4 linked regions of the Astyanax mexicanus genome follow. The protein of the gene in region 1 interacts with the protein of each later gene in a pairwise test. Links are inferred from orthologs where the notes say so. Each region holds a gene or a part of one and is shown on either strand. Other genes may lie near its edges.

Evidence for each region.
Region 2: the proteins of exosc8 (region 1) and txndc17 interact in binary tests that used the Homo sapiens proteins (3 or more experiments, as listed by UniProt). The two-hybrid records come from large-scale screens. The link is inferred for Astyanax mexicanus from reciprocal best matches to the Homo sapiens genes EXOSC8 and TXNDC17.
Region 3: the proteins of exosc8 (region 1) and exosc10 interact in binary tests that used the Homo sapiens proteins (3 or more experiments, as listed by UniProt). The link is inferred for Astyanax mexicanus from reciprocal best matches to the Homo sapiens genes EXOSC8 and EXOSC10.
Region 4: the proteins of exosc8 (region 1) and morn4 interact in binary tests that used the Homo sapiens proteins (3 or more experiments, as listed by UniProt). The two-hybrid records come from large-scale screens. The link is inferred for Astyanax mexicanus from reciprocal best matches to the Homo sapiens genes EXOSC8 and MORN4.

Annotation. Positions count from the first base shown.
Region 1 is NC_064427.1:39,561,303-39,568,420, forward strand, and holds the start of exosc8 (exosome complex component RRP43), read left to right. Parts: upstream 1-4,100; 5' UTR 4,101-4,170; coding exon 4,171-4,187; intron 4,188-4,462; coding exon 4,463-4,499; intron 4,500-5,204; coding exon 5,205-5,268; intron 5,269-5,914; coding exon 5,915-5,988; intron 5,989-6,077; coding exon 6,078-6,123; intron 6,124-6,210; coding exon 6,211-6,316; intron 6,317-7,118. Other genes in the region: alg5 (dolichyl-phosphate beta-glucosyltransferase), read right to left, coding at 96-264, 2,140-2,220. UniProt on the Homo sapiens protein: Non-catalytic component of the RNA exosome complex which has 3'->5' exoribonuclease activity and participates in a multitude of cellular RNA processing and degradation events.
Region 2 is NC_064425.1:13,474,198-13,481,750, reverse strand, and holds the start of txndc17 (thioredoxin domain-containing protein 17), read left to right. Parts: upstream 1-4,531; 5' UTR 4,532-4,682; intron 4,683-4,760; 5' UTR 4,761-4,787; coding exon 4,788-4,932; intron 4,933-6,515; coding exon 6,516-6,597; intron 6,598-7,132; coding exon 7,133-7,208; intron 7,209-7,399; coding exon 7,400-7,468; 3' UTR 7,469-7,553. Other genes in the region: p2rx8 (purinergic receptor P2X, ligand-gated ion channel, 8), read right to left, coding at 303-374, 515-665, 1,123-1,256. UniProt on the Homo sapiens protein: Disulfide reductase. May participate in various redox reactions through the reversible oxidation of its active center dithiol to a disulfide and catalyze dithiol-disulfide exchange reactions. Modulates TNF-alpha signaling and NF-kappa-B activation.
Region 3 is NC_064419.1:17,930,821-17,937,965, forward strand, and holds the start of exosc10 (exosome component 10), read left to right. Parts: upstream 1-4,121; 5' UTR 4,122-4,186; coding exon 4,187-4,309; intron 4,310-4,524; coding exon 4,525-4,661; intron 4,662-6,779; coding exon 6,780-6,903; intron 6,904-7,145. Other genes in the region: serine/threonine-protein kinase mTOR, read left to right, coding at 573-678, 852-867. UniProt on the Homo sapiens protein: Catalytic component of the RNA exosome complex which has 3'->5' exoribonuclease activity and participates in a multitude of cellular RNA processing and degradation events.
Region 4 is NC_064414.1:31,950,968-31,958,543, forward strand, and holds the start of morn4 (MORN repeat-containing protein 4), read left to right. Parts: upstream 1-4,563; 5' UTR 4,564-4,722; intron 4,723-6,053; 5' UTR 6,054-6,065; coding exon 6,066-6,132; intron 6,133-7,576. UniProt on the Homo sapiens protein: Plays a role in promoting axonal degeneration following neuronal injury by toxic insult or trauma.

The sequences.
Region 1 (7,118 bases):
CCATGACATAATTTCGATCGATTTCAATGAAATATTGAAATCGTGACACCCCTAAAAAAATACAGATAAGAAAGATATAGTAATAAACAGCTTACATCTGGACTCCTCGTTGTAGGACGGCACTACTACAGACAGCTCTCTTGAATGGGGGTCAAACAGACTAGGGAATGGCTCCTTGTTTCCTGAAGCTGTCAGAAAATATTTCTCCTGCTCTGCACGCGTCTGGTCCACCATGCTGGCTGTAACGTGGGCAATTACAATAACCTAAAGAAGAGGAGACAAATGAGATAGCTGAACCCAGCAGACACACTTCAGCAGAGCTTCAGCAAAGTATTACAAGATCTATATTAAGCTGCAGGGCTGGAGTTGAATAAAACTCCCCTAATAATAACCAGAAATGGGTGGAGTAGCCAGCGTATTGTTCCTTCAGTAATATAATGACAGGTGTTGAGTTCCCAACAGAACTGCAGTTAAAACAGCTTCATGAAAAATAAGTATACCATGGTTTCTTCTGAAATCTAGGGTAGTTAAATCTGAGATGACCCTGCTTTTGCTGGAATAACTGTCTCTAAACTCCAGATAATGCTTTTCATTTGATTTTAAGAAACCGCAGAAAAGATTTTATTTAGTCACAAAAGCATCATTAAATACAGTATGTATTTAATTTAATTACCCCACCTCATTTCACTCTTTTGCACATCTGTGTCAGCAAGGGTGGCAGCCTAAAGCAGCTGCATATATTTACTAGAAAGGGCGTCTCAAACATTTGGACATACAGATCCCTGTGTACAGCTCCCAAATCTTCTGGATTAATACAAAAGCCACTGTCTGACGAATTCCTGGAGGATTATAAAGGATTTCACCAAACCAAGACGCTGCCAGTAGTAGAAAACATGAAAACCAGGAACAGCCAGTTCTGAGGCGGCTTCTTCCCCCAGGCCATCAGGCTGCTGAACAGCCTGTAATAAAGTGTACCAGTCCACAGCCTATCACAGCTCATCTCACCTCTCTCACTGCTGCTCACCACAGACTCACTCTACACCCTGCACTTTACCTACAGTCCCACCAATACTTCTCCATCATCCAGAATACATACATCTGGAAATTTTTATCATGTTTTACTACACCCAGTAAATTTTTCACCAGAGTAATTGCATCAGCAGAGGCAGATTTTGCTATTGAAGTGCAAACAAGACTTTTTCACACTCTGTAATGAATGGATAGTTCGGTCTGTATTCTTTAAGTTCGATATGATTATAGTGGATACGATAAGAAGAAATATATCAATATATTGTCTAGCTTTACACTAAAAATAGAGGATCCTTCATCAATACAGTAAGGTGAGATTCATTCTCCTGAGATACAGCTCTGGCAAAAATTAAGAGAGCACTCCAGTTTCTGAATCAATTTCTCTGATTTTGCTATTTATAGGTTTATGTTTGAGTAAAATGAACATTGTTGTTTTATTCTATAAACTACAGACAACATTTCTCCCAAATTCCAAATAAAAATATTCTCATTTAGAGCACTTATTTACAGAAAATGAGAAATGACTGAAAAAACAAAAAAAAGATGCAGAACTTTCAGACCTCAAATAATGCAAAGAAAACAAGTTCATATTCATAAAGTTTTAAGAGTTCAGATTTTTTTTTTTTTTGTGGAAAACCCCTAGTTTCTTATAACAGTTTTCATGCATCTTGGCATCATGTTCTCATCCTCCACCAGTCTTACACACTGCTTTTGGATAACTTTATGCTGCTTTACTCCTGGTGCAAAATTCAAACAAGCAGTTCAGTTTGGTGGTTTGATGGTTTGTGATCATCCATCTTCCTCTTGATTATATTCCAGAGGAATATATTTCAATTTGTTAATATTAAAGAAAATCAATTCTAAGTGGTCTCTTAATTTTTTCCTGAGGTTATATCAGTCTAAATTGACTAAAAACAACAACTTTACAACGGGGATTGAGAAAAAACATAACTTTAATTGTAGAAAGATTTGTTTAGATCAGGACATTGACTAAATATAAATAAATATCTCAGCCAGAGTAAAAAATAGAGATCAGTGATCCAGGCAGAGGAGCTCCAGGCCCTCAGATTCTGTAAAATTTTGACAGAAACACCAAAACATTAAACTCACCAGGAGTAAGAGGAGCAGGAGCAGAGCTGCAGCGACCTGGAGGATCTGACACACACACTGATCCATCATCATCACCATCATCCTCTTCCTCTCACAGCCCAGAGACACCCCGCAACTACAGCCCGCTCATAGGGGGGAGTGAACAGGAGTTATAACCGGTATTAAAACGCCATGGCTGAAGTTCTTCCACCTCACAGTGAAACAGCACTGCGGAAATGACCCGCCGCTGCTCCACATCATCATTACAGCACACCGCCACAGCTGCTGCACCCCGAGCATGCGCACTTCACACCGCCATGATACAGGAGAAATCACCCCCCACCGATAGAGGGAGCCCGCGAGCGAGTCCTCAATGACTGGGAGTGAGTGAAGCTAAAAGGATAAAAACTAGCTGTATCTGTGTATCAGTGTCTAAAACTTGTTTAAAAATTATAACAATGTAATTCTCATAAAGAAATTTAAACTTAACTGTATAATAATAATTATTATTATTATTATTATTATTATTTTTACAGCAATTACTGTAGAAGTGTTCTTTAAGCACCACACTTATGTAACGTTAGACGTCCTAAAGTATGCATCATTTCTTTGTACTTAAAAGTAGTTTATTCTAATTTTACAACTCAAGTTCTGAAAGTAAATGTATTATATGTTATGCAGCTATTTATTACAGAAAGCAGTGAAAAGGTTTATTATCATATTGTAGGCAGTAGGGGTGGGCAATATTATATCATATACAATATATCGTGACACAGAAATATCATGATATTAAAAATGCATATCGTGATAATAGGGCTGTTCTGTCTTAAAAGTAGTCTATTATTTACTGTGAAGCTTTAGGTGTATTTATTGTATAATTGTTTTAGTTTGCAGTTTATATGCATGCACTAAATATTCTGCAATATTTTTGCTGCATTATATTATTTTATGCTATATTATTTATTTTGCCACATTATGATTATACTGTTATACTATTATACTATATTCCTGAAATGAATTAATTATTTTAGTTTTCCTATATCGCCAAGTATATCGTTATCGCAAAAATACCCTGAAATATCGTGATATTATTTTAGAGCCATATCACCCACCCCTAGTAGGCAGAAAGCACGAGGAAGCAGAGTAAAAGGCAGAACCGGAGCATCGAAGTCTTCTGATATGAAGATGACACTGCCATCTCCTCTTGTCGTTTATCACTGTCTCTTTGCTGTGAAGATGCTTGAAGTTAAGGAAGAAGACACCGCAGACACTGCCTTACGTGTAATAGACAATATCAACAATATCTTCAAGGCGGTCCAAGGCTAGGCCAGCCCTGAAGAGAGAAGTTGTTCAATTCTGATGTTCCTGCTCTCTCTTCTCCCCAGTTTTGGGGACCTGCTTAAATAGGGTATTATAGTATACATCTGTAAACACTGTAAACATGCTCTAGACATACACAGCCATAGGAGGAGTCTACCTAGAAGAATGGTCACATACTTTAGTGAAGAGAAATAAAGAGAATATATATATATATAAGCTGAAAATGTAGAGGTAACGCAGTTGAACACAATAGACAGTGACACCAAGTTGATAAAGTGCATAAAGTGAGGATAACTGAAAAAGCAAATAGACAGTTGTATAATTACTTTAGCAGTGCAAAAGATACGTAAACAGTAGATGAGTGAACTAGTGAATAAACAAGTTCTGCAAAATAGGGTAGAACTATGAAAATAGTTTAAATGGTTTTGTGTTAAGGAAATGAGAAACGTGAACAGTATTAAAAGAAAAACACTGATAAACTCTGATAAATTCTGATTTTGCTCAGCTGCTCCATATGAACACATTAATTTTGGAATCACTCTAGAGGGCCCTGTGGAAGAGACTCTGAAGTGGCCCCTCTCCTCTCTACAGGCTCTCTGATTACAGCACACGCCTCCAGACCGGCCCCGGTCCGGGGGAGGATTCTCAGCGCGCCCCCTGCTGGACTGGAAGACCCGCGTCCCCTTCTTCTGACGTCATCCGCCCTCTTCACGTGGTGTTTTCCTCAGCATCATGGCGGCGGGGTTCAAGTAAGTGGAGCGGACTGGAACTTACAGTTATATCAGCAGCAGCGGCGTGCTTTATTTATATAGTTATATCAGCAGAGTGCTGAATTTCTGTTAATATTACAGCTTAGGCTAAATATATAGAGAGTATATCTGGAGTATCACAGCTGACTGATCTCTCTTAATGTTGTACACGAGCTAATCTGTCCCTGTACTTGTTATTGTACTGCTCTTTTACTAAATAAACCAGATAGTGTTAATTATAAAACTGTCTAAATAAATTTAATGTGTTTTATCAGAACTGCAGAGCCTCTGGAGTATCACAGGAGCTTCTTGGTAAGTTTAACTACTTTATTTACTTCAGTACATCTACATGTACTCTACAAGACATGATCCAGTGTAGACACGTCCAGTTTTCTTTTTAAATCAGAGGTTATTAATAAAGATCTGTCCACAGTTTGCTGTACTAAACCGACTCTACTCTACTAAAAAAGGCCTGAGGTTGCAGTAAACAGGAACATAGCTGTGAGGAATTGATTGCATTCAGACATAACAATGTGCAGCATGTGAGACGTTTCAGGAACAGATTCGTTCACATTACAGTCAATATATCTCAGCCTCCCCCAGACTAAACTTCAGTTTGTTCTGGCCAAATCGTTATGCCTTAAGTGGTGTACATCACTATGATCACCCTGACCTAGGATGATGACTGGTCTTAACTTTTTTGAGGAGACTGCTCTAATCTTAAAACAGATGCCATATATCTCCTATACCATTTATATCTCAGATAGCCCATACAATACTGATTTAAATGTTTACTTTTCATTCAGAGAAGAGGTCTTGTCAGACCATAAAGTTTTAACCATGGTTCCATATGAGTCACTCAGAAGAATTAACCAAATATCATAAAATAAAACTGGAAAACATAGTGATCATGTTAGATATTGATTAAGATAAAATACTGATTTTATCAGTACTTTACTTTTGGAGATGTGGTGTATTTCGCTGTAGATTCACACAGTCCTGCTTCTCTTCATATAGAAAGAAAACTGCAGGCCAGATGGCAGAGAACTGGGAGAGTTCAGACCCACAACGTTAAATATAGGTAAGCTGTTGCGCATTGTTATAAATGTATGACTTGTATTCTGTTTTGGTGTATAAAGTGGATTGCAAAAGTATTCATACCCCTTGAACTTTTTTACATTTCACCGTAAAACTACACACTTTTTTTTATTAAGATTTTAAATGATAGACTGAAGAGAGACTATAAAGGAGATTCACCTTCCAGCAAGACAATGACCCCAAACATACAGCCAGAGCTACAGTGGAATTATTTAAATCAAAGAATATTCATGTGTTAGAATGGCCCAGTCAAAGTCCTGACCTAAATACTGCTGTTCACAAACGCTTTTCATCCAACCTGACTGATCTTCAGCTGTTTTACAAAGAAAAATGGGTAAAAATCTCAGTCTCTAGATGTGCAAAGCTCAAAGCTGGTCAAGACATGCCCAAAAGAAAGGTGGTGGCTCCACTAAGTATTGATAGGGGGGGCTGAATACTTGCATGTCACTTTTTTGCAGATGTCTTTTTGATTAAAATTTTAAAAACTATGTATTAATTTTATTACACTTCAGTTATTTGCTACTGTGTGGTTCAATCACTTAAAACCTCAATAATATACATTTATGTGTGAAAAGGTTGTGATGAATGTAAGATCTTAACTTTACATCCTGAAAATCCTTTATATGCAGGTTCGATTGGAACAGCTGATGGTTCAGCAATGGTGAAAATTGGAAACACTACAGTGATCTGTGGCATAAAAGCAGTAAGCAGCATCCCGCACTCCCTCAAATACTCACATATTGATCACAAATAAACATAACAAACACTTCAAAACTTCATGTTTTAAAACAGGAACTAGCCGCGCCGCCCTCAGATGCTCCTGATAAAGGATATATTGGTATGTTTGAGTGAGTTGTTATAATAATTATTAAAGGCAATCGTCTGTGAGGGTAACTGAAGTCTGACTGGCTCTTTCGTGTCTCAGTTCCGAATGTAGACCTGCCTCCACTCTGCTCGTCCAGATTTCGGCCGGGGCCACCAGGAGAGCAGGCGCAGGCCGCCAGCCAGTTCATCGCTGACGTCATTGATGGGTGAGATGAGTTTCTTTGTGTCAGTGACTCTAATTGGGACTTTGTGGTCAGATTCTTAAAGCTTTGTGAAGGTTAAAAACTATACTAATGGTTTTATGACACCATTTTCTCCCCAATTTACGCGGCCAATTACCCAACCCACTCATTAGGACTCCCCCCTATCACTAGTGATGACCCAACACACCAGGAGGGTGAAGACTAACACATGCTTCCTCTGATACATGTGAAGTCAGACACCGCTTCTTTTCGAGCTGCTGCTGATGATGTAGCATTAACGAGCAGCATCACAGCGCTAACACTCGGAGGAAAGCACAGCGACTCGGATCTGATACATCAGCTCACAGACGCCCTGTGCTGCAGACATCACCCTAGGAGTGATGTGGGGAGAGAGCGCCATCTACTGTACTGTACCCACCCGGAGGGAGCAGGGCCAATTGTGCTCCCTCTCAGCGCCGGCAGCTTGATGGTAAAGCTGCATGAGTGGGGGTTCGAACCCACGACCTCCCGCTCATAGTGGCAGCGCTTTAGACCGCTGGACCACTTGGCACCCCTTCCCAGTGAGTTTTGGAGAAAGTTTTTGGATGCAAAACACTAAAACTTAAAGGGAAGGTGGAACATCAGCAGTGAAGTCATTACCAATTAACACAGAGGTTCACTTACTTTTTCTAGCCTGCACAGTGGATGTTTACTCTGTGTGCTAAGGCTACGTTCACATTATAAGCCACACTGCTGAAATCAGATTTTCTGCTCAGACTGAATTTGGCTCTTTTGACAGTTCACATTCACTGTAAATGTAAGTGAT
Region 2 (7,553 bases), on another chromosome or scaffold:
TATGATCCAATATATTGATATATTGTGTAACGTTAAGCAAGAGAAAATATACAAAAAACTTTCCCTCATATACAAAACATCCAAAAAAAAAAAAAGAATTTAACTTTATATCCAATCAGAACAGTGGGGTCAAAACACAGAGTACAACACTGCCCTCTAGTGGACAGAGTTTAAGCACAATACAAAATGAACCAGAGTATTGAGAGTACTGTTCAGAGTGTAATAAAATAAGTACTGGTATATAAAATGAAATAGTAAATGAATATAAAAACTTAACTGTTGTAGGGATTGTTTGGTCGTACCTCAGCACAATAGCCTAATTTCTGATTTGGCGTTTCTATGAAATTGGTTGTTATAAAAAGCACATCTTCTCCCTGCAGAAATGGAAAAATACAGTGTACAGTTTTTAATGTTTATAATAAATAGAAATGTTTCCATCTGTAATACAACGTTATAATTATGAGCTGATGATGTGACTGGTAAAGGAGGAACATATCCTCAGACCAGCTCTCACCTGCTGTGGGATTACGTAGTCCTCTGGCCCCCAGAGTCGAGGTCCAGTTCCTGAGGAGTTGGTGAGTAAAACCCCTTTAACTTTGGTGATGACTGAACTCTGAATAGATTCCTCAGTCTCCTGGTAGCCTTTCTTCGTCAGGAACACCCAGCTACACACACACACAGTTGTGAACACAGTTTGGAATCACTGTTTAACCTGTTTATTGATAATAAGTAGATTATTTAAATCAATAATTCTTTTTTTTTTGGGATGGTCAAAACAAAAGTGATCTACATGATGGTGCCCAAAGGCAACATTCTTTTTTTTATTTGATATAGTATGAATATAAACAGCCAATTTTGCTTATTTACATAATCTAACTCATATTAACAACGGCTTAACAACCACCTGGTAAACCACAACAACAGCACAGCACCCACTTAGCAACCACCTAGAGCACATTAGAGGTATTTCATTTTGGTATGCTGTACGTAAGCAATTGTAAATAAGATAATAAAGATCCAGAACTGTATTATACAATTGTAATGTAAATATATATTTAATTTTACCACACACACACACACACAGCTCTATCACAGGCTATAGATAACTCCAGCTGATCTTACCCGATGATATATCCCAGCAGAGAGAGCTGAATCACTCTGTACAGAATTCCCACTTTCTTATTCTTAGCAATAACATATTTCTCCGTCTTATAGTCGAAGGCAGAGAGCAGCACAGCCCTGAGGTCCACAGCCATGTCTCTGCTGTGAGTCTGTGCTGAGTGTCAGTAGCAGTGATGGGCCGGTCGCATACGATCCGGCTCTAAGAATCGACTCTTTGAAGTGAACTAAGGGAGTCGACTCCTGATGATAAACAGACTTGTCACACCTGATTGGTCTTTCCTTGCAGAATCTGTGACATGGATGCTTTCTTAACTAAATGTTTTAAACATTTTAATTCATATTATTTTAAGTGATGTTCTGTATATTCTGTGGTGTTTCGTTGTGCAAATTAAATAAAATACACAAACTGTGCAGCTTGATTTAAGGAGTGTCAGTGTGTCTTTGCTATCGTAACGATGGGAGAAGTACATAAAAAGTTCATAAAATAAAGCTTTTAAATGTGTTAATAGTAATAATAATAATAATAGTAATAATAATAATAATTATTATTATTATTATTATTATTATTATTATTATAACTAATTTTGTCATATTATTATTATTATTATTATTATTGTTATTATTATTTTTATTATTATGATCGGGAGATCGCTTGTTTGAATCCTGGACATGCAGCTTGCCATCAGCTGCCGGAGCCCTGAGTGAGCACAATTGGCCTTGCTCTCTCTGGGTGGCTACATGGCGCTTTTTCCACTCATCAAAATACAGAGCTGATGTACCAGAACCGAGTCTCTGTGCTTTCCTCCAAACATGCTGGCTACTCGGCATCAGCAGCAGTTTGAAAAGAGCCGGTGGATGACTTCCCATGTCAGAGGAGGCATGTGCTAGTCTTTACCCTCCTGGTGTCACATGTGATGGGTGGGACAATCGGCCTAGCTAAATTGATAAAAAATAAATGGAAGGAAATTAGGCATCTTTAAAAACATGTGTGTGTGTGTGTTTGAGATCCTGGCATGTTTCTACAGGTTTTGTTGATTATCTTGAGCCACAGGGATTCACAGGAGCAGAGCAGAGCTCCAGTCAAGCTCACAGTGGGAGAGTCACATCCTCTCTGTCTTTAACTGCTCACCATTCCCCTGGTGATCCCTGGTGAACTCGTCTGCCTCTGGAGCTTTAAAATATGAGTAAACACAACCGTAGTGCAAATAACACAGGCCTGTTTATAATACAGATAAGTCTGATAAGACTTGATTAAAGTTTATCTAAGGCTGTTAGAATCAGGATGAGTATTTTATATTAATTACAATTTTCCTTTGTCAGTTTCAGTTATTTTATTAGAGGTTCAAAATGTTAACCACTTCTCTAGAAAATGTTTTTTTTTTTCCTACATTGTAAATATTCTGGTGTGTTTAACACTTTTTTGTGTACTAAATAATTTCGCATGTTTTTCTTCACAGTTTGGATTACTTTAGTACGGAGCCCGGGAGGGGCCGTGGATAAAAAAAACAATTAAATCGAGTGAACGATGTAGCAGTTCGTGCTCACGTTTTCTTTAATTCGAGTGAACGATTTGCAATTCGTGCTCACGATTTCTTTAATTCGTGCTCACGATTTCTGTAATTCGTGCGCACGATTTCTGTAATTCGAGTGAACGATTTCTGTAATTCGTGCTCACGTTTTTATGCAATAAGACAATAAGCTGGGAGGGAAAGGAGCATTTTCTCTCTTGATCTGTTACAGGGGTGCAGTGATGATAATCAGTTATCTACCTTTATAACCTGCTGATATTAATGCACTAGTGTTACAGTTAGATGTACAGTACAGTGAGCAGATTTTGCCTGGTGGTGGAATCTCTACAGCGCGTGGGGGAGAGCCGTCCGCGGCACGGGTTCCCTGGCCGCGAGCGCAGGTCTTCACGGAGCTTATTTACCAACAATATAGACAAATATAGTCAATTCCAGTCATGATTAAAGGAAACAAACATTACTAATGCAGGGTAACTGTGTGTTATTAAAACCAGATCAAAACAAAGTTATAATGCAATGTGGAACTGTTTATAATTTCTTATTTTCAACAATAGTATAACGTAAAGAAGTATAATTATATAAATATACAGCTATAAGACTTAGGTCCAAATGTACACTGTAAAAGTTAATAAAGATAATACAAAATTAATGCAAGGTGTGACAGTTGTCTATGAATGGCTCATATAAGAGCTGCTTTAAATATGTAACACTATATAAAATCAAAATAGCTGGTCTAAAATACTATTAATACAATGTATTAAGATATTTAGTAAATAGGCATTTCATATAATAATTTGGATCAATTTGATAATTTATTCCAATATGTTTCCTAAAATAATTAAGTTTCTATATCTGATGAAATGTCCTGAATATCTGCTTATTCTCAAATCACAGTGTCCTGCCCAGAAACATGCCACAAGCTTCAAATAAAAAAAATATAATAATTATAAACTTCTTAAATGTATATTTTCTGAATTATGTGTTTATTTATTATACAAATTATTAAAATATAGATTAAATCTATCATAAAAGTAATAATGATGTAACCAGATTTAAGAAGGTGTGCATTTCCTTGGAGGCTGGCTGAATGTTATTTAGAAATTAATAAACACATTTGCACATTGCATTATAACTTTGTTTTGATCTGGTTTTAATAACACACAGTTGTCCTGCATCAGTAAAATGTTTGTTTCCTTTATTCATGACTGGAATTGACTGTATTTGTCTACATTGTTGGTAAATAAGCTCCGTGAAGACCTGCGCGCGCGGCAGGTGTCTGGCGGCGGGGGAACCGATGCCGCGGACGGCTCTCCCCCACGCGCTGTAGAGATTCCACCACCAGGCAAAATCTGCTCACTGTACTGTACATCTAACTGTAACACTAGTGCATTAATAACAGCAGGTTATAAAGGTAGATAACTGATTATCATTACTGCACCCCTGTAACAGATCAAGAGAGAAAATGCTCCTTTCCCTCCGAGCTTATTGTCTTATTGCATAAAAACGTGAGCACGAATTACAGAAATCGTTCACTCGAATTACAGAAATCGTGCGCACGAATTACAGAAATCGTGAGCACGAATTAAAGAAATCGTGAGCACGAATTGCAAATCGTTCACTCGAATTAAAGAAAACGTGAGCACGAACTGCTACATCGTTCACTCGATTTAATTGTTTTTTTTATCCACGGCCCCTCCCGGGCTCCGTACTTTAGTAATAATCAACAAACCACTTAATTAAAAGGTCCTGTAGATCAGAGAGTGTTCCCGGGAGCGGTAAGCTGATTGGACCTGTAGATCAGAGAGTGTCCCCGGGAGCGGTGCTCTGATTGGACCTGTAGATCAGAGAGTGTCCCGGGGAGCGGTGTTCTGATTGGACCTGTTTGCCGAGTGAGGTAGTACGGGTGCTGAGAGGGCTCAGACGCGGAGCTGCGGTTTGGCGCATGTGAGTGGAGAGAGGAGCGGAGCAGAAAACGGGACTTTTATTATTATATTCTATATTTTATTATAAGAGATTTTTTTCCGGGGAGCTGAGGTGAGTATGAGCTCGGTGCTGCAGGGCTGTGCTGATCTGTAATAGTGCAGTTTAATAGCTGGATCTGTGGTTCTGCAGGATCTGCTGGAGGTACAGAAGGGAAGTATGGCTCAGTATGAGGAGGTGAAAGTCCGCGGGTATGAGGAGTTCTGTAAAACTGTGTCTGACCGAGCAGGAAAAGATATATTCGCTTATTTCAGCGGAGACAAAGATCAGCAGGGGCAGAGCTGGTGCCCTGACTGTGTTAAAGGTGGGCTTATCATTTAAATATCTATCTAAGCTAATAATACTATTATCATTGGCTCATTCTGTGAACATATACAAGTGTATCTATTATCATTTCAGTAATTCAGTTCAAAATGTGAAACTTATATATTATAAAGATGTATTAACTTACACACAGACTGAGATTACAGCCAATAAAACCTCAAAAATCAGTGTAAATTAGAATATTATATAAGATCAAACTTTTGGCAGTGTAGGCCAAGTCCTGCTGGAAAATGAAATCTGCATCTCCATAAAAGTTGTCAGAAGAGAGAAGCATGAAGTGCTGTAAGATTGTCTGGAAAAGCACTGCACTGACTTTGGACTTGATATAATACAGTGGATCATCACCAGCAGATGACATGACTCTCCAAACCATCACTGATTATGGAAACTTCACACTAGACCTCAAGAAGCTTGGACTGTGTGTCTCTTCCAAATAAAATGAAAAATATACTGATGGTTAATGATGACTTGGAGAGCCATGTCATCTGCTGGTGTTGGTCAACTGTGTTATATAAAGATAGTCCAAAGTTTCATATTATGGCAAGAACTACTTAACAAAGTAAAGGAAGAATTCTCAAGTGCAGTCGCAAAGACCTACAAAAATGTTATAATGATGAAACTGGCTCTCATAAGGACCGCCCTAGGAAAGAAACACTGCATAGTTATTAGCACCCCAGATGAGAACACCTAAATCCTAATTCCTTATATGTTCCTTTATAGTCTGGGTCACTTCACTCTTCATTTACATTGTTAAAACATTGAATGAGAACATGTGTCCAAACGTTTGATTGATACTGTTAATATAATATACTAATTATATAAGAAGTGTATGTGCTTTTCTACAATTATAACTTCAATAATGTACATGACTATTAAAATATAGGGTTCATATGACTCATGTAATACATTTTGCCACTATATTATAACATTATATCACTTATTGAATTATTATGTTTTGTGGAAGTCAGATATTGCGAGCTAGTCTCGTAGTACAGTAGTTATCTGTATCAGTATTTTTCATTGCTGTCTCAAGCCGAGCTTTAAACAGGATCAGGCATGAAGCGTGTGGTAATACTGGTATCCCATCTGACAGTAAATTGACACTTGCAAAACTGAAACCCATTCACCCCCCCCCCCCCCCCCCTATATATCAGCCTTGAGTTTATGCTTTTATGTAAAATCTATTTTAAAGTCAAGCAATTTTACGATGATTTAACCAATAGAAATGCTCCAAAATTACTTAAATTTCTGCTTAATGTTACAGCGTTTTTTCCCTTCTACTTTAAAATTTTTTGTGGGACAGCAGAAGGCCATTTATAATGAATATTAAAGCACATCATTATAAAACCTCAAATTATTTTGAACCACCATCCACTCTGAATGTTTTGACACTTTGACCCCCGGCTGTAAACAGGACCTGTGTCTACAAGCAGGTTAAAGATTATGAGAGATCCTGTTTAAAGCTAAACAGAAAAAGAGAAATCTTCCATGCATCATTGTGAAGCACTTCAGACGCAGAAGATGAGTGTAGTTCCACTTATTTTCTTTTCTTCTTTGCTTCAGCTGAGCCAGTGGTCCGTGGGGAGATGAATCATCTTCCTGAAGGTTCCGTCTTCATTTACTGCCAAGTGGGAGATCGGCCTTAGTAGGTGTTCTTGTTTGTGTTGTTGTGAATTCAATCCTTTTAATGAAGTTTAATGAATAGTGCACACTTTTTTTAATTTATTTACCCTTTATTTACCCAGTTTGCCAATTTGGTTGCACAGTATACATTGGTGTAAAAAGTATTTGCCCCTTTGATTTTTTTTTGCCATTTTCTTTGGATTATCAAAAAACTTCAATATCAGACAAAGATTGAACTTTAATATGAGAAAAATGGTTGTGTCACCCTTGGTAGCACAACCATTTTTCTCATATTAAAGTTCAATCTTTGTCTGATATTGAAGTTTTTTGATAATCCAAAGGTTATTGGGTTTAGGAGGCAAATACTTTTTCACACAGGGCTAGATTGGTTTGGATAGTTTTTTCCTTTAATAATTAAAAGTAAAAATAAGTGCTTTTTATGTTTACTCTGGTTTAATATTAAAATTTGTTGGCAACTGTAATTGCAATTAAAACAAAGAACTCTGAAAACAAAAATTGAACACTGTTTTGAGTCACTGACTTCTTCTGTTTTTCAGCTGGAAGGACCCAAACAATGAGTTTAAGAAAACTCTCAAACTCACTGGGGTCCCAACTCTGCTGCGCTATGGCACGGTAATGATCTGTTAATGTATTTTTATTGTTTTCTGTGATACTCCAATAAAAAATCTATCATATTTAATTTTATTGGGATCTAATGTTTGGCTAAAGTCTAATTAAAGTTTTTGTTTTGCCGCTGTGGTGTGTCTACATGAAACTAACGCTACATTATTAATGATTGGTGTATGGTATCGTGTAATTTGCAGCCACAGAAGCTGGTGGAGGAACAGTGTTTCAAAGCAGACCTGGTTCGGATGATGTTCACTGAAGATTAACGTCTCAGACGGCAATATTTTTATATAAATGCAAACTCTAAAATGCATCTCAAGATATCTGATCTATTGTGTGCCTTTTTTCAAT
Region 3 (7,145 bases), on another chromosome or scaffold:
ACACTCCAGTTCAGACTTCCAGCTCCGACCCGGTTAGAGATCTCTCTCTTTCTCTCTCTGCACACACACACATGAACACACACACAGACAGGTGCTTTCCTGCCCTCCTGCTCCTCATCCCTTAGATTTTTATCCTCATCAAATTAGAAGCATCAAGTTAGAACTCAGAAATCCTCACAACCAATTTTAGAATCCAATTTATCATGCATTCTTTATTCCAGCACCCTACGTTGATTTTAATCCCCCCTCAAACATACAAGTATATACTATTATTTTAATTGACACCACTAATATACAGTAATTGCGTTTTATTTACATTTAATTATCCACTATAAAAATGTACGTCTGAAGAAAAACAAATGTGATTATTCGTATTTAATCACAGAATTTTGTTGTGATTAATCAGATTCAATTTCTTAATCGATTGACACCCTTAATTATTACTACACTCATTCAGATACTGTCTGAAACACTCACCAACTTCACAAGCTTCCCCACCAGGGAGCGCTGTAAACCCTCAGAATGCTGCTTCACCTCAGTCACACTGGACCTCTTGTTATTTCTCATTCTAGGACGGGACTTCTCCCATGATGAGACACTGGATGTCCCAACCCAAGTGGAGCTGCTGATCAAGCAAGCCACATCACACGAGAACCTGTGCCAATGTTACATTGGATGGTATGTAGTTGTCCATCCTCAAAAACACGTTTTAGAAGGACATTTGTCCAATTTAACCTGAGTAAATGATGTATGTAATTATGTACTTATGTACTATTTATATGGGTCACTCAGTGATTAATAATGAATTAATTTTATCAATAATAATTGTTTCTTCTTTTTTCTTTCCTCAGGTGTCCGTTTTGGTAGAGCTTCACTCAAGCTTTGTTTTGCTGTCTTTGTTCTTTGCTGATTCTCTATGTTCTACCGCTGCCATGTTTGAGTCCGCTGAATACGCTTAAGAAAAGAGATCTGTTGCATGAAAAGACATTTTAAAGTATGTCTGACTTTTATTAATTTAATAATGTTATACATAGAATTCTGCACAAAGTGGAGCAGAATACTTGATTGAAGGTGGTGTACATCTTTGCCAATAAATTTTAGAAAAGCCTGTTTTTGTTGCTTTTTTGAACACCTCTTGTGATGAATGTTGTTTTGCCTTGTATGTGACTGTAAGTAACTGTGTGCTTATAATATCCTGATGTGAGTTTTCTGGGGTGTCATATTTCTGTTATGAGTGGATTTCAAAAGAGTTTGAGCTCTTTATGTGTCCATTGTTTGATTTCATGTATGCAGTAATTTCTTCAACTTGGAACTGGTGGGTCTCTTTACATTGTGCAGCACAGGATAGAATTATTGTACGTGGGAGCAGGTCTACATATGCATGCACAAAAATCCTGTGAATTAAAAAATAGTCCATGTAAAATCATATAAATAACATAATAATAACCATGCATTAATAAAATAAGTGAAAAAGTGTAAATAACCAGTCAGAGAAAAAAAGTAACCAGTCACATGAATAACAAAGGAATTAGGCATCATCAGACTTTCTATATTTAAAAGACATGTTGTATCTATTTTTACACAAGTTAGAATTTATGTGAAGTGTATGTGCTATACAAAACGTGTTTGTTAGTGTTACATTGTGCTAATCTAAACGGCAAAACATGAGCAAGCTAGTTCATGCTTAACTTTGATATGAGCACAAAACTCATTATTTGAAAGTGCTTACATCTCCCTCCTCAGGTGACTGGTCACAGACAGCAGGAACAGATCCCTCCCTCAGTCGAAGTCTACTGACTAATCCTATTGTCTGAGTTTCTCAACCAAAATAAAAAAGAAATGGAGTTTCATATGGAGTGTTTATATGGGTAGTCAAGACTTAAGTGGAAATGCTTAAGCATGCAAAAAGTGAGTTTTGCATAGTATGTCCCTTTTAAATGTTTATCAAGAATAAAAGGAGTCTAACAATACATTTAAAGTGAACAGATGCCCACTACCCATATTAATTTAAAAGAAAATTGGTTATTTGTGAAGTAAGTTTTACTGCTGGTTGGACCATGATATAATTTTTAAATAATGAATGCAAATGGAAACTTTGTTGCCATGCTCTTTTAAAAAAGTAAATATCCTTAAAAGGTCACCTGAAAGTTCTTCATATCTTTCCAAAGAAAAATCCATTGAGATCATAGAACTGCCTTCGAAATGATTATTTCCCCAGATGCATCTGTACACTTTTCAGCATAATGACAAGCTGTACCCATTACAAAGGCTTGGCTGCAAAAGAAGAGGGTACAGTTATAAGACTGTTCTTCCTGCAGTCCTGAGCTGTTCCCACTAATGCGCAGACATTTTTAAATAAACAAAGTAACACTTCAAAATCGCTCAGTATTTTTGGTGCCAACTTTTATTTTAAGCGTTGTAAAAAGGAATTGTAATATATATATATATATATATATATATATATATATATATATATATATATATATACACACACAGCTGAGGTGGAAGAATCTGTCGACGGGACAACTGTAAGTCGTGCACTCCACAAATCTGGCCTTTATTGAAGAGTGGCAAGAAGAAAGCCACTGCTGAAAGAAAGACATAAAAAGTGCTGTCTAAACAGCAAACGTGTGGAAGAAGGTTCTGTTGTCAGGTGAGACAAAAGTTCAACTTTTTTGGCCTAAATATAAAGTGATTTGTGTGGCAGAAAAGTAACACTGCTCATCATTCTGAACACACCATCCCCAAAGTGAAACGTGGTGGCAGCATCAGCTGGGGCTAAATACAGGGCAGTCCTGGAAGAAAACCTGGAGGAGGCTGTAAAAGATTTGAGGCTGGGAAGAAGATTCAAGATAGTGATTCTAAACATACAGCCATAGCTCCATTGGAATATTTAAATGAAAGAATATTGATGTGTTGGAATAAGCCAGTTAAAGTCCTCACCTTAATACCACTGAGCTTCTGTGGCAAGACATGAAAATTGCTGTTCACAGACGCTCTCCATCCAACCTGGCTGGCTAGTATTCACCTGGCCGCAAGACAGACAACAGTTAGAAATGTTTTAAAATAAAGATTTTTTTTAAAAACTAATAACAGTCTTTGCAATGTCATATGCTACTTTACAACATGTGTAATTCTCTGCTAAGTGCAGATTAGCCACTGACCTAGTCTTAGAATCTCTGTATAACGGGAAATCCACCGGAGATCCTATGTAAATCCTATATTTACACACAGAGATGGGTAGTTCAGGTCCAGAAAGTAAAACAATTTTTTAATTTTTATTTTAACTAGTTTACATAACTGTTTTAAACATACACCTAGCTATCTCAATTGTACTTCGCTGGTGGTGTTCTATAGACAAATTCTAACCATTTGTTCCTTGGCTCTGAATTACTGGGTAAAGCATATAACACTGATGTGTTATTTGCACAAATAACACAGGAACAAACTGCCATGCTGTTCCTAGCACTGTTAGCTCCTATTTGATAAGACTGCATTGCTGCCTAGCATCAGCACTACCTGTGGGAGGTCGTGAGCCAAGGTGGGCAAGGCCATGAATACCAATTCACTGATTGATGTAGACACGGTACTTTTCCTGATCAACTTGTTTTTCTGAATATTTTCTTTTACTAGCTACTGCAGACAATGGAGGTTGAGGAAGAGTTTCATGTGCAGCATCATATACAACTCAGAGAGACCTACAGTATTGCACAAAGAACAAGAAATGTGGATTTTAGCAGAAGAACACCATTAAATTCTAAATGACTTAATTCATTTATTGCTGAGATATATAATAGAAACCCTCAGCCATACATGAAGATACATAGAAAATGAAAGTGGGTCATTTTTGTCCCATTTGTAAAATGAAATTAAAATACTGAACTATTTTCTAAAAGAGGGTTTATAGTTAATGCTTCTAAAGCTTCATGTTGGCCACTGCTGATCATTTTAATAATTGATGTGTCGATTCTTTTTTTTTATATCTATCGATTATTAATCGGAGAAAAAAAGAAAAACATATAAAATATGTGTAGTGTTTTAACTAATCAAGGGTCAGGGGAGCAGCGCGGTGCGGTTCAGCAGGTGGCGGTAGAGAGCGCGCGGTCTCTCTGAGACTCCCGAGAAGAAGACGGGTCTCTGCGCGTGCTCCGCTCCGCGCTGCTCTCGCGGGGTGTACTGGGTAGTGATGGCTGCGCCCGTGAGCGGAGAGAGCGGCTCTGGAGCCCGCGGTGACTCCGGCAGCGGAGCCCCGGGGGCGGAGAGCGGGGAGTTCTGCCCGGGGTTTAGAGATGTGGACGCGTTTGTGAAGGTGAGTAAGGCGCTCCGGTCCCCGGGGTTAACGAGCAGAGCCGCGGGTCTCCGCGCTGTGAGATAAACACGCAGCGGCAGCGTGGAGCTCCTCCTGCAGCAGCAGCAACGCTGGACTCGTGGTTCTGTTTTCATTAGCCGGTTAGCTTAGCGCTGTTAAATCTCTGACGGGTTAGCGGCTCCTGTTCTCTAATGAACTCTAACGGTGTTTTACAGCACGGACTGGGCACGGTGGTCTCCGCCACCAAGGCGGCCGGGGGTCTCCCTCAGCCCGGAGACGAGTTCGACTTCTACAGGAGTTTTCCTGGGTTTCAGGATTTCTGTGCTGTTCAGGGAGAGCGACTCTTACACTGGTGAGAGAGAGAAGACGGGCTTTAAACACTTAAATACATGTATTTATTTAATCTTACGTTACTGTCAATATTGTTATTGCTGATTCTGACTTAAAGCCATAGTATTGACTCAAGCTATAGACTGTATTACAAACCAAAAATCACATATAGCACTGTTTTATACTAGTAAACGCTCTCGTTTCTGCTCTTAGCTATGAAAAAAAAAAACTTTACTATTAGTAACATCAGATCTAACTGCAGGTCTGTAAACACATTCTGACTAGTCATATTACAAATAAAACAACATGTCCTTATCTATAATTACATTTTAGAAGTTAAAAAACTGTAGTCCCAAATACAGCTCTAGATAAAAAATTTGGATACATCAACTCATGAAGTTTCTAAGTGACATATAGTGAACATCCTGAAAGCATCACTACAAGACAGTGTGTGAATCTGTGTTTATTCGTTCATCTCACATTATTTACACAAAGTAGAAGTGCTGGAGATAAAATTGCTGGCGATATCCTTTTAAAGGAGTTTGTGTATTTTCTGCGTTTACAGGTCTGTTCCAAACATTTCAACGATTTTAAACGCTATAATTAAATGTTTTACATTCCATATAACTGGTTCTGACCTGATTTCTAGAACAGAATGTTAATAATAGTAGTTAATAATAGATTCAATTTTGAAAGTGAAAATGTCAATACTTAAAACAGCAGAATGTCATACAGTTCACTTTCTGCAGTACTATTAACATGATACTGATTATTTAATTATTTGAACACTATTTCTGTTTAATTCTAGGACTTAGACTTTAGGATTGTTGTTTTTACAGATAAAATATGTATGGCCTCTTGGTTAAATAGGAGGAAATGTAATAAAAGTAAAGCATGCCGTTCTAGGCACATATTTCTGAACTTGTAAAAACTCTCATATAATTGTATTGCACCAAATGGTTCTAAATACACTGCATGGTGCCTAAGACACAGTTTCATCACAGTGCTGAGAGCATTTTGGCTCTAAAACCTGTTTTTGAAATCAAATATCATTAAACAAATGTAACAGATATGTGCAAAATTTTCTGTGACAAATAATAATAGTCCCCAGTGACAAGGTATTGGTTCAGGCCTGTTCTCACACATTCAGATATTTTTAAAAACAGTGAAACCTGCAGTGCTATAAGCACACATTTCTTGATGAGAGCAGTTTACCTTTACTGGTTGGAGAGTCTGTTTGTGTTGTTTTGGTCTGTCAACTGAAATGTAAAAAATAAAAAGATCTGTGGGTTTTAAAGCCTAGTTTCAGAAGTGTTCACAGATGTAATCATTTGTGCTATACATACGGTAATATCCCTAATATCCAGCTAACACTACAAGGCTGGATGCAGCAGGAATGGCATTTCAGCTAGTTTTAGTTTATCACCATATTTATCATTGTTGTTATTCACTAATGATAATTAATCCAAAGAAGTGTCACTGGTAACCTCGCTCAGCTTGTCTGGGATGATATTTTCAATAAGTACACCAGTATAGGCTGTATAAACCAGATTTTCATTTTTAATAGACCATAAAAGACCACCACTAATGTGGGCATTGCATGGTTGGACCTTAGGTTACAGGGGGACATGTGTTCGGAGTGGGTTTGTACATATGTTTTCTGGGACCCATTTGGGCTTCAAAAATAGGCCCTATTCTTACATCCTATTTTAACCTCACATTGGTCCCATCTAGGATTTACGTGCAGTGTTATATCCAAATGGGGCCCAACTTTAACCCCTCCTGGTCCCATCACTGTCCCTGGTGGGGCTCATTACTGACCGACATAGAACCCATGGACAAAATCTTTTGGTTCCCTTACAGGCACCACATGGTCATGTTATCTCAGCAGTTACAAGGTTGAATTTTTACAAGGTAAACACAGTCTGGGCCGGTAATGGCAGCCTTCTGACGGAGGTTCCTGAACCTGAATTGTCCCAGTCAGCCTACTGATCGATCGGTAGACAATACAGTCAGTGGTATAAATCTAATATTATATGGGGTCTTCAACCTAAATATTCGTGCATGTGTGCATCTCTTTTACATGATTTTCAGTTGCTTTGATGTCTCATTTTGTTTTATAATGTTCTGCATTGTTCAGTATGAGTCAGCTGATGAAGCACCACGGCTGCAGATCACACATAAATGACAAAAACAAATTGACGGGACTGGAGGAGCGCTTTGATCTGGTCGTTGAGTCCAATGATGTCATCCTGGAGAAAGTGGTAGGAATGAATGCCCAATTTCTAAACTACATGTTTTAATTTAACACGTGTACACGGTTTACATGTGCCAGCTAGAGCTGGACGTTATAAACCATGATAAATTTTATCGTATCGATAAAGTGAACCAAGTGACCAAAAGTGACCAAGTGAACATTTAATTACAGGGAGTTTAGAAAATCCTGTTTAATTGCATGATGCGCTACATTAAAGTAATTGAAATGCAGTTTTAAGAATATATCACT
Region 4 (7,576 bases), on another chromosome or scaffold:
TGAATATAAATATAACTATGATATATGGTATCACTGGAGATCAGGTACTCCATAATGGAAATTCAGTATATGGGGCATTCCTTGACCACAGTGAACAGTAAACAGTGTAAATGCATGTATGACCCATTTACAACACTGTAAATGCTCACAGTTGTGAGGTGTTACATTGTGAATGAAGCTAAATACTGGCCAGTGTGCTCATAGCAACGCAACATGAATTATCAGGGTCTGAGTAAAGCCTGATTGTGGCTGTCGAATGGATGTGACATTCTAAAATTCATTCTGAATTTTCCAAATTAAAAACCTTTGGAATATAATCTAGAGGAAGATGGATGATTACAAGCTTTCAAACCAAGCTGAACTGGCATAAAGTTATCCAAAAGCAGTGCGTAAGACTGGTGGAGGAGAAGATGCCAAGATGCATGAAAATTGTGATTAAAAACCAGGGTTATTCCACCAAATATTGATTTCTGAACTTAAAACTTAAAACCTTATGAATATGAACTTGTTTTCTTTGCATTATTTGAGGTCTGGAAGCTCTGTCTTTTTTATATTTCAGTCATTTCTCATTTTCTGCAAATAAATGATCTTATGATTGACAGGTAGAACCTGGAATGATTCTCCAACTGTCCTACAGGAGTTATAGAGGTGCTGAGTTCTTGTTAACTGCTTTTCATTTACTCTTAGCTCCAAACCTGTCCTAAACCACCTGTGCTGGGTTTTTATGTCAGCTGTTGGTGAGGGCTAAACACTTTTTGTCTACTATCTAACTGCACATGTGTTCCTTCAAACTTTTGACTGTCACTGTGATGCAGTTTCTTAGAAAGGGATAATGCCTTGGGATAAGGCCTTGGGCTACTACACAGCATTTTTAACTAAGATTTTCCATTGAAAGGCAAATATAATCTGCGACTAGGCTTAATCATTGTCCAGAAATCCAAAACCCAAAAGGTTCCAGTGCTGTTACCCTCTCGTGCTGGAGTCTCACCCCTGACAAATATACATGTAAATAAATAATGCTGTACAAACAGAGATATTTATCCTAATAAGTAATCTGACAGTTGTGTTATTGAGAGAGATTATCATATAATGTCCTGGTTTACTGAGTGCTGGACTGGGAGATTCAGCATTGGTCAGCGTGACAATATGACAGCATAACCCTCCTCACCTTGGTTTGAACGCATGGTTCACACACAACAGCCCTTGTGTATGTTCTGCCATAGAGAGAATTATGGGTCAATTAAGCCTCGGAGAGAGAGATGACCATCAACAACCTATGTTCCACCCCCCATCCTGCGAGAAGTTGACCTTTGTGATTTTTCTTGCAAGGAGAGCCGACTCACTTTGTAGGTGTTTGTGTGGGAGCACTTTGTGTGTACTTGGTGTGCGTATTATGGCGCGCTAAATGGTCGCTCGTGTGTAGTGATGCTTGCATGACCCATCCTGTCACTCTGGGGCATATGGAGCCGACCGCCCATTTCCCTCGGGAATTAACACCATGCTGATTTACTACCAGTGAAGGGCAGTAATCACTAAAGGAGGCCAAATTAGTCTCCAATTTCCCCAGTGTGTGTGTGTGTTATGAGTTGGGAGACTAAAAACTGAAGGTCAAGAGAAGGAAAATTGTGTGTGTCTGTGTGTATTCAAATATCTGGACAGAAGATTTCAGGAACAGTCATGAGGCTTTGAGCCATTAGTTTCACAGCCTCATGTAATTTGCCATATTACCTTTTATATACATTTTTTCTACCTGAATCTAACAGCCTAATCCCTGCTAAAATGTACAGCACCCTTCTTTCGAAAATAAGCTCATGTGATGTGTGGTCATTTGCTCTCGTGATGCTGTCCGTGTTTGATTTACAGCCCCATATATTTCATGGTTGTTCTACAGCGAGAACCACTCATCTTCAGTATTAAAACCAATACATCTCAAGGGTGCGATTTTTATCGACGTTTCCCATTACCAGCTCTTCACGTTTATAGAGGAAGCCATAAATACCCAGTCCTGTTTAAAATGTTGATGGTTCTCTCTGGTATGAAGAGATCAATTGTCAAACGTGTTGAGTTAGTATCATAAAGGCAGGTGGGTCAGATGCACTGAGAAATAGGCTCACTAACTTTCAGCAGAGGGCTTGGGTAGCATGCATTAACGTCATATAAGATATGTTTAAGGGACAAAAAGGTCACAGAATCAGTTAAAGCATGCCACATTATTTTATTCAGGTTTAAAATGTAATAGAAATAATATTAGCTAATAGTAACTGTGCACTTTTTTAAATAAAATTAAACATTAAAAGGTTCATCACTAAGTGTCTGACGCCTAGACACTTTCAGAAATATGAAATGTCCATAGACAAAATTGGTTGGAATTTTCATAGTTTTGGTAAAATTCATCTGTGCTTTGCACTGATCTTTTTCGAACAATTTGTCCACGCAGACTATCAGTTAATTATCTGTGCAGGATATCGGCTATAACTACAGGGTTTGTGGTACTTTGTGTTGGGAAGTAGTGCAATTTGTGTCAATGTTGAGGCCTTGGAAAACAGTCTCTCCCATGTCTTCTTCTTCCTCATGAATGTGGGATGAAGTTGATGGTGCAGCTGTGAATCTAGTCTATTTATTTCACATTTTTTCATGTAAAAGTGCATCACATAGACATTAGGAGGGTGCCATATTCAAAAATCTAAAAGGTGATGTGTGACCATTTAATAACAGTGTTAGCATATTAGAGGAGGTCACTAGGAACAGCTCAGTGAGGGACATTCACTCACTAAGACCTTCATCAGTGGAGGCATCCTTGGGAAGAGGCTTAGAAATTTGATGAAAGGCACTTTAAGGGAGAAAAGAAAATACAATATGGTAAGAGTTAGCGCTACCATATTTTTTTCAGATTTTCATATGTAGAAGCAATGCTTAAAAACACCCCAAGCTAACGTTTATGTTTAGAACACACTTACTATTTGCAGGTTAAGCACTGAAATTTAGACAGCCACACATGATGCTTTAAAGATGTGCATGGATTCTACAAGACATGACTGGTCCAGTCTGGTTATATGATGCACAGAGTATGCCTAGCTAAATTGGGAGAAAAATGGGAGAAAATTAGAAATAAAATTAATTAAAAAAAAAAAAATCTTTCACGGAGCCCCTAGGGTGACATCATTAAAAAAAATCGTGGCCATGACTTATTAAGGCATGGAAACAAGATAATTAAGTTGTGGGGACCACTTTATTAACCCTTTATGGCATGATTGTTATCTAAATAAAAATAAATGTGTTTAAAAAAGGTTCCAAAAGAAAAGGAATCTCCTGAAATGTGGTATGTTACGTTTTTTCTTCCCAAAATGATAAATCGTGCCATAAAAGGTTAAGGCTTGGAAACAAGAAAATTAAGTCCTGAAGATAGAAGTCGTCCCTAAGACGACTTACCACATCTTAAAAAGTCATGGCCATTGTGGGAAATAAGTAGCTAAACCATAAGTAAATAATGGGCATGGGCCCTTTACATGTGTATGTATATCCTATAACCATATTGTTAAGGCTAAGCTAAGCTTTTTGTCAGTCAATCTCAGTGCGTGTTACTCAGGCAGTAAACCCTTTCAGGGAGGCGATTAAAGCCGTGTTTTCTCTCGTTTCTATCTGCTGAGCCGCCGGCACAGCTCCAGGACTGCACACGGTAGCCGCCGATTAATCTCCTGCCCGACAAATGCGATCACATTCCTTGACAGACGGGCTGCGCTGAGCGGGGGGGTCGGTAGTAGTGGAGCCCGCAGCCAATCAGCACGTGGGTTAAAAGCTTCCCTGTGAGAGAAGAGCAGAGTTGCCAGGTTCGTGGTTTTCCCGCGAAATTGTGCTTGTTTGAAAATCCAGTCGCAGGTAAAAAAAAAAATTAAGTTGTGGCGGGGTGCGTTTCTTTGGGGCTACTTAAAAAAATTACCGCGGCCGTGGTACCATTGAATTTTTATTTATTTTTGACATTTATTATGCAGCCTTTCCAATTTTAATTTTATTTTTGTCACATATGACTCATGCTTAAGTGAAAAAATAAATTGCAAATGAAGTGATTTCATATTGTTTTTAATTTTGCCATACTATTTTGAGACATAGTATTTAAACAAAAAAAATTTGCATTTTCATTTTAATGTTTTCGTTTCAGTTTTATTTTTTTCCAGGATTTACCTCCAATACATAACGACATAAAGGACAGCATTAAAAGGAGAGCGGGAGAAAAAGAAAGAGTAAAAAAAAAGAGGATTCAGGAGGGGCAAGGAATAAAAAGTATTTTTTTGTGCTAATTATGTTAACTATTAAATGTTCTTGACTGAGATATAAAATTGTTATAAAAGAAATAATAAAACACTAACGTTACAATATTATTCATCACTTTAAGATAAGTAGCAATACTGGTAATACATTTCTTATAAACAAAATATTAAGTCGTACACTCATAGTTGTTTTGCCATTTGCTTCGAACGTGTGACAGACATATTTTGGGCTAATTTAAGCTTTTGAAGGGCGGGTTTTAGAATGACTTTGGGCTGGATATTTTTGTTGAACCTGGCAACCCTGCTTCCCTGTGAGAGGAGAGAAACACAGACAGGCAGCAGGCAGGCTGATTCTGTCCTCAGCCCCACACCGCGGCTCATTTTCCCCCCTGAATCGACCTGCTCAGCTCCTCCAGAAGAGTTTTCATGCTTGTGAGAAAACGAGGACATATTACAGGTGCGTAACGCTGTTTTTCCTCAGTGTGAACCGGCTGAAGCCCCTGAGATCAGGGCTATTCAGCTGCCTGGCTCCTGTTGTGAGAAAAGACTTGCGGTTGGTAGTCCAGGTCCGGAAGTTAAAAATCCGTTACAGGATTTCATTTCTGCTGCATGGACTGCTCAGCTGCAGCAGCGCAGTCCAGGCAGTAGGAGTGAAAGCCTGAAACGGATTTTTACTTTCCGGACCTGGACTACCAACCTCTAGCACAGCCACTATATAAGACTAGATATTCATCATTTCTGTACAACTTGTTCTTTTTTAAATTACAACAGTTTAGCACCTTTATTTTCGCTGTTTTCTTCATATACTAATTCTGAAATGGGAAAAATTGAGCAAAATCTATAAAACCTAGCTAGCTAAGTAGCCATTATTATATAACAGCTTTATTCAGCTAATTGAACAACAGGCTTGATCAAATCTCATAATTTAGGTATCTCAGGTTACCTAGCTAGATTAGTTCATTAGCGTTATATAACATTTGGTGACAGCATAGTGTGATAAATTAGCCTAATAAACCTCATAACTAGGTTAAATCATCTCAGCTATTGAAAAAAAAAAAAATTAAACCAAACACAAACGTTTTGGTGACTGCTGAGTGTCTTTCCAAGGATCAACACATCCAAACAAAATACTACTGGTCTAGTGTCAATGAACTATTGTGAAATTATCAACTAATAATATAAAAAAGGTAGTAGCCAGTTAATTTATCAGCTAGCTAGCTTAGCCAGTGACCAAAAAAAATAAGAGACCACTTTCTGAACCAGTTTCTCTGATTTTACTATTTATAGGTACATGTTTGAGAAAATGAGTTGTCGTTTTATTCTACAAACTACGGACAACATTTCTTTCAAATTCCAAATAAACATATTGTCATTTAGAGCATTTATTTGCAGAAAATGAGAAATGGCTGAAATAACAAAAAGGATGCAGAGCTTTCAGACCTCAAATAATACAAAGAAAACAAGTTTATATTCATAAAGTTTTGAGAGTTCAGAAATCAATATTCGGTTGGATAACGCTGGTTTTTAATCACAGTTTTTATGCATCTTGGCATGTTCTCCTCCACCAGTCTTACAAACTGCTTTTGGATAACTTTATGCCACTTCTGGTGCAAAAATTCAAGAAGTTCAGTTTGGTTTGATGGCTTGTGATCATCCATCTTCCTCTTGATTATATTCCACAGGTTTTCAGTTTGGTAAAATCAAAGAAACTCCTAATTTTAAGTGTTCTCTTTTTATATCTGTATGATAGGCAGGTGTTTCTGTACTGAGGAGTGTTTATTTTTGCAGGTTGGTGGAGGTATGACACTGACGAGGGGCTCCTTTACTTATTCAACTGGAGAAGAGTACAGTGGGGAATGGAAGGAAGGCAAGTTATTACTGTATCTATATTAAAATCATTTTTTGTCTATGTAACTGCCATTTTACTGGCATTCACATTACAGTGGCAGCTGCAACATTGCCTTTTTAAATCTGTTTAATTCTGTATATTTATACAGAATTAATATATCTACTGATTGCTGCAACAATTAGTTGATATAATCAAATGTCCATTGTCGACTAATCATTAATTTGCAGCACAACACACAGTTTACACTCAACTCTGCCTGTGTCTCCAAAAATGCCTAAACACAAAATATTATGTACTTCCTCACTAAATTTCAGCACTGTCTAGATTTAAAGGACAATGTTCTGGACATTTTTAATCCCATGTTTAGTTGTTTCTATCGATTTTAAGCAAAGACAGAGAAATCTTGAAACAGGAGCCGTACTCACTCAAGCGGAGATGGAGAATAGCATGGCAGAAATAATCCTTGACTAATTGACTAAATCGAAAAATAATCGACAGATTAATCGACTATCAAAATAATCATTAGTTGCAGCCCTACTCATTACTAAGGCTAGGTTTCTCCGATTAAATAATCCAACATCCATAGAAAACATATTGATCTATGAATTTTGCCTATTTTGGAAAAAAAATGTCTGGTGTGTGCTCTTATTACTAAGGCACTTATCCTTGTGCAGTTTGTGCAGCATTCTCATACATGGGATACATGTAATTATGCTGTTATTTATGTAAATAATGATGTTGGATTATAAAAGTATGTATTTAGAAGTTGCAAAGTTTTTGTGATGTTATCATATTAATACGGTGAGGACACCTAATTGGAATTAGCAATTTAACTGATACGTAATAGTTAAATGTAGGGCTGCAGCTATCGATTATTTTAGTAATCAAGTACTATACTGAAAAATCGATTCAATTAATCGAGTAATCGGATAAACCATATTTGCTTGCCCAAAAAGCAATTTAAAAAAGTGAAACAAGAAAGAAATTTCATTTAATAATGAATGACCAGTTGGTTTAATTTTTAAATTCACAACATACATTTCCACATTGCAAACACAAATAGAAATAAATAAAACGCAAAATAGACATAAAACTTTTAATACTTACATTTATTGTAAGTATTAAATATAGGGAATAAATCAATAATAGAGGCATAAACATGGATTGGATAAGCTCGCTGCATTCTTTTCCCACAAAGTCAGTGGACAGGGGATGTTTTCATATTAAGCAACACTGATGGAAATCTTATTGATTTGTTATAAGTTAAGTTTACCTGCTCTCTTCACTCCAAAAACCTCCGTCTTCTCCACCTGCGTCCTGTGCGTGGGTGACGTAACGCTTAGCGCTTTTTCACATTAAAAGTCAGCGCTAAATTCCGTGCTTTGAGTTTTAAAATTAAATAAACGATTCCTCGAGGCACAGAAAATTAATCAATCAATTTTTTAAATCAAGTTACTCGACT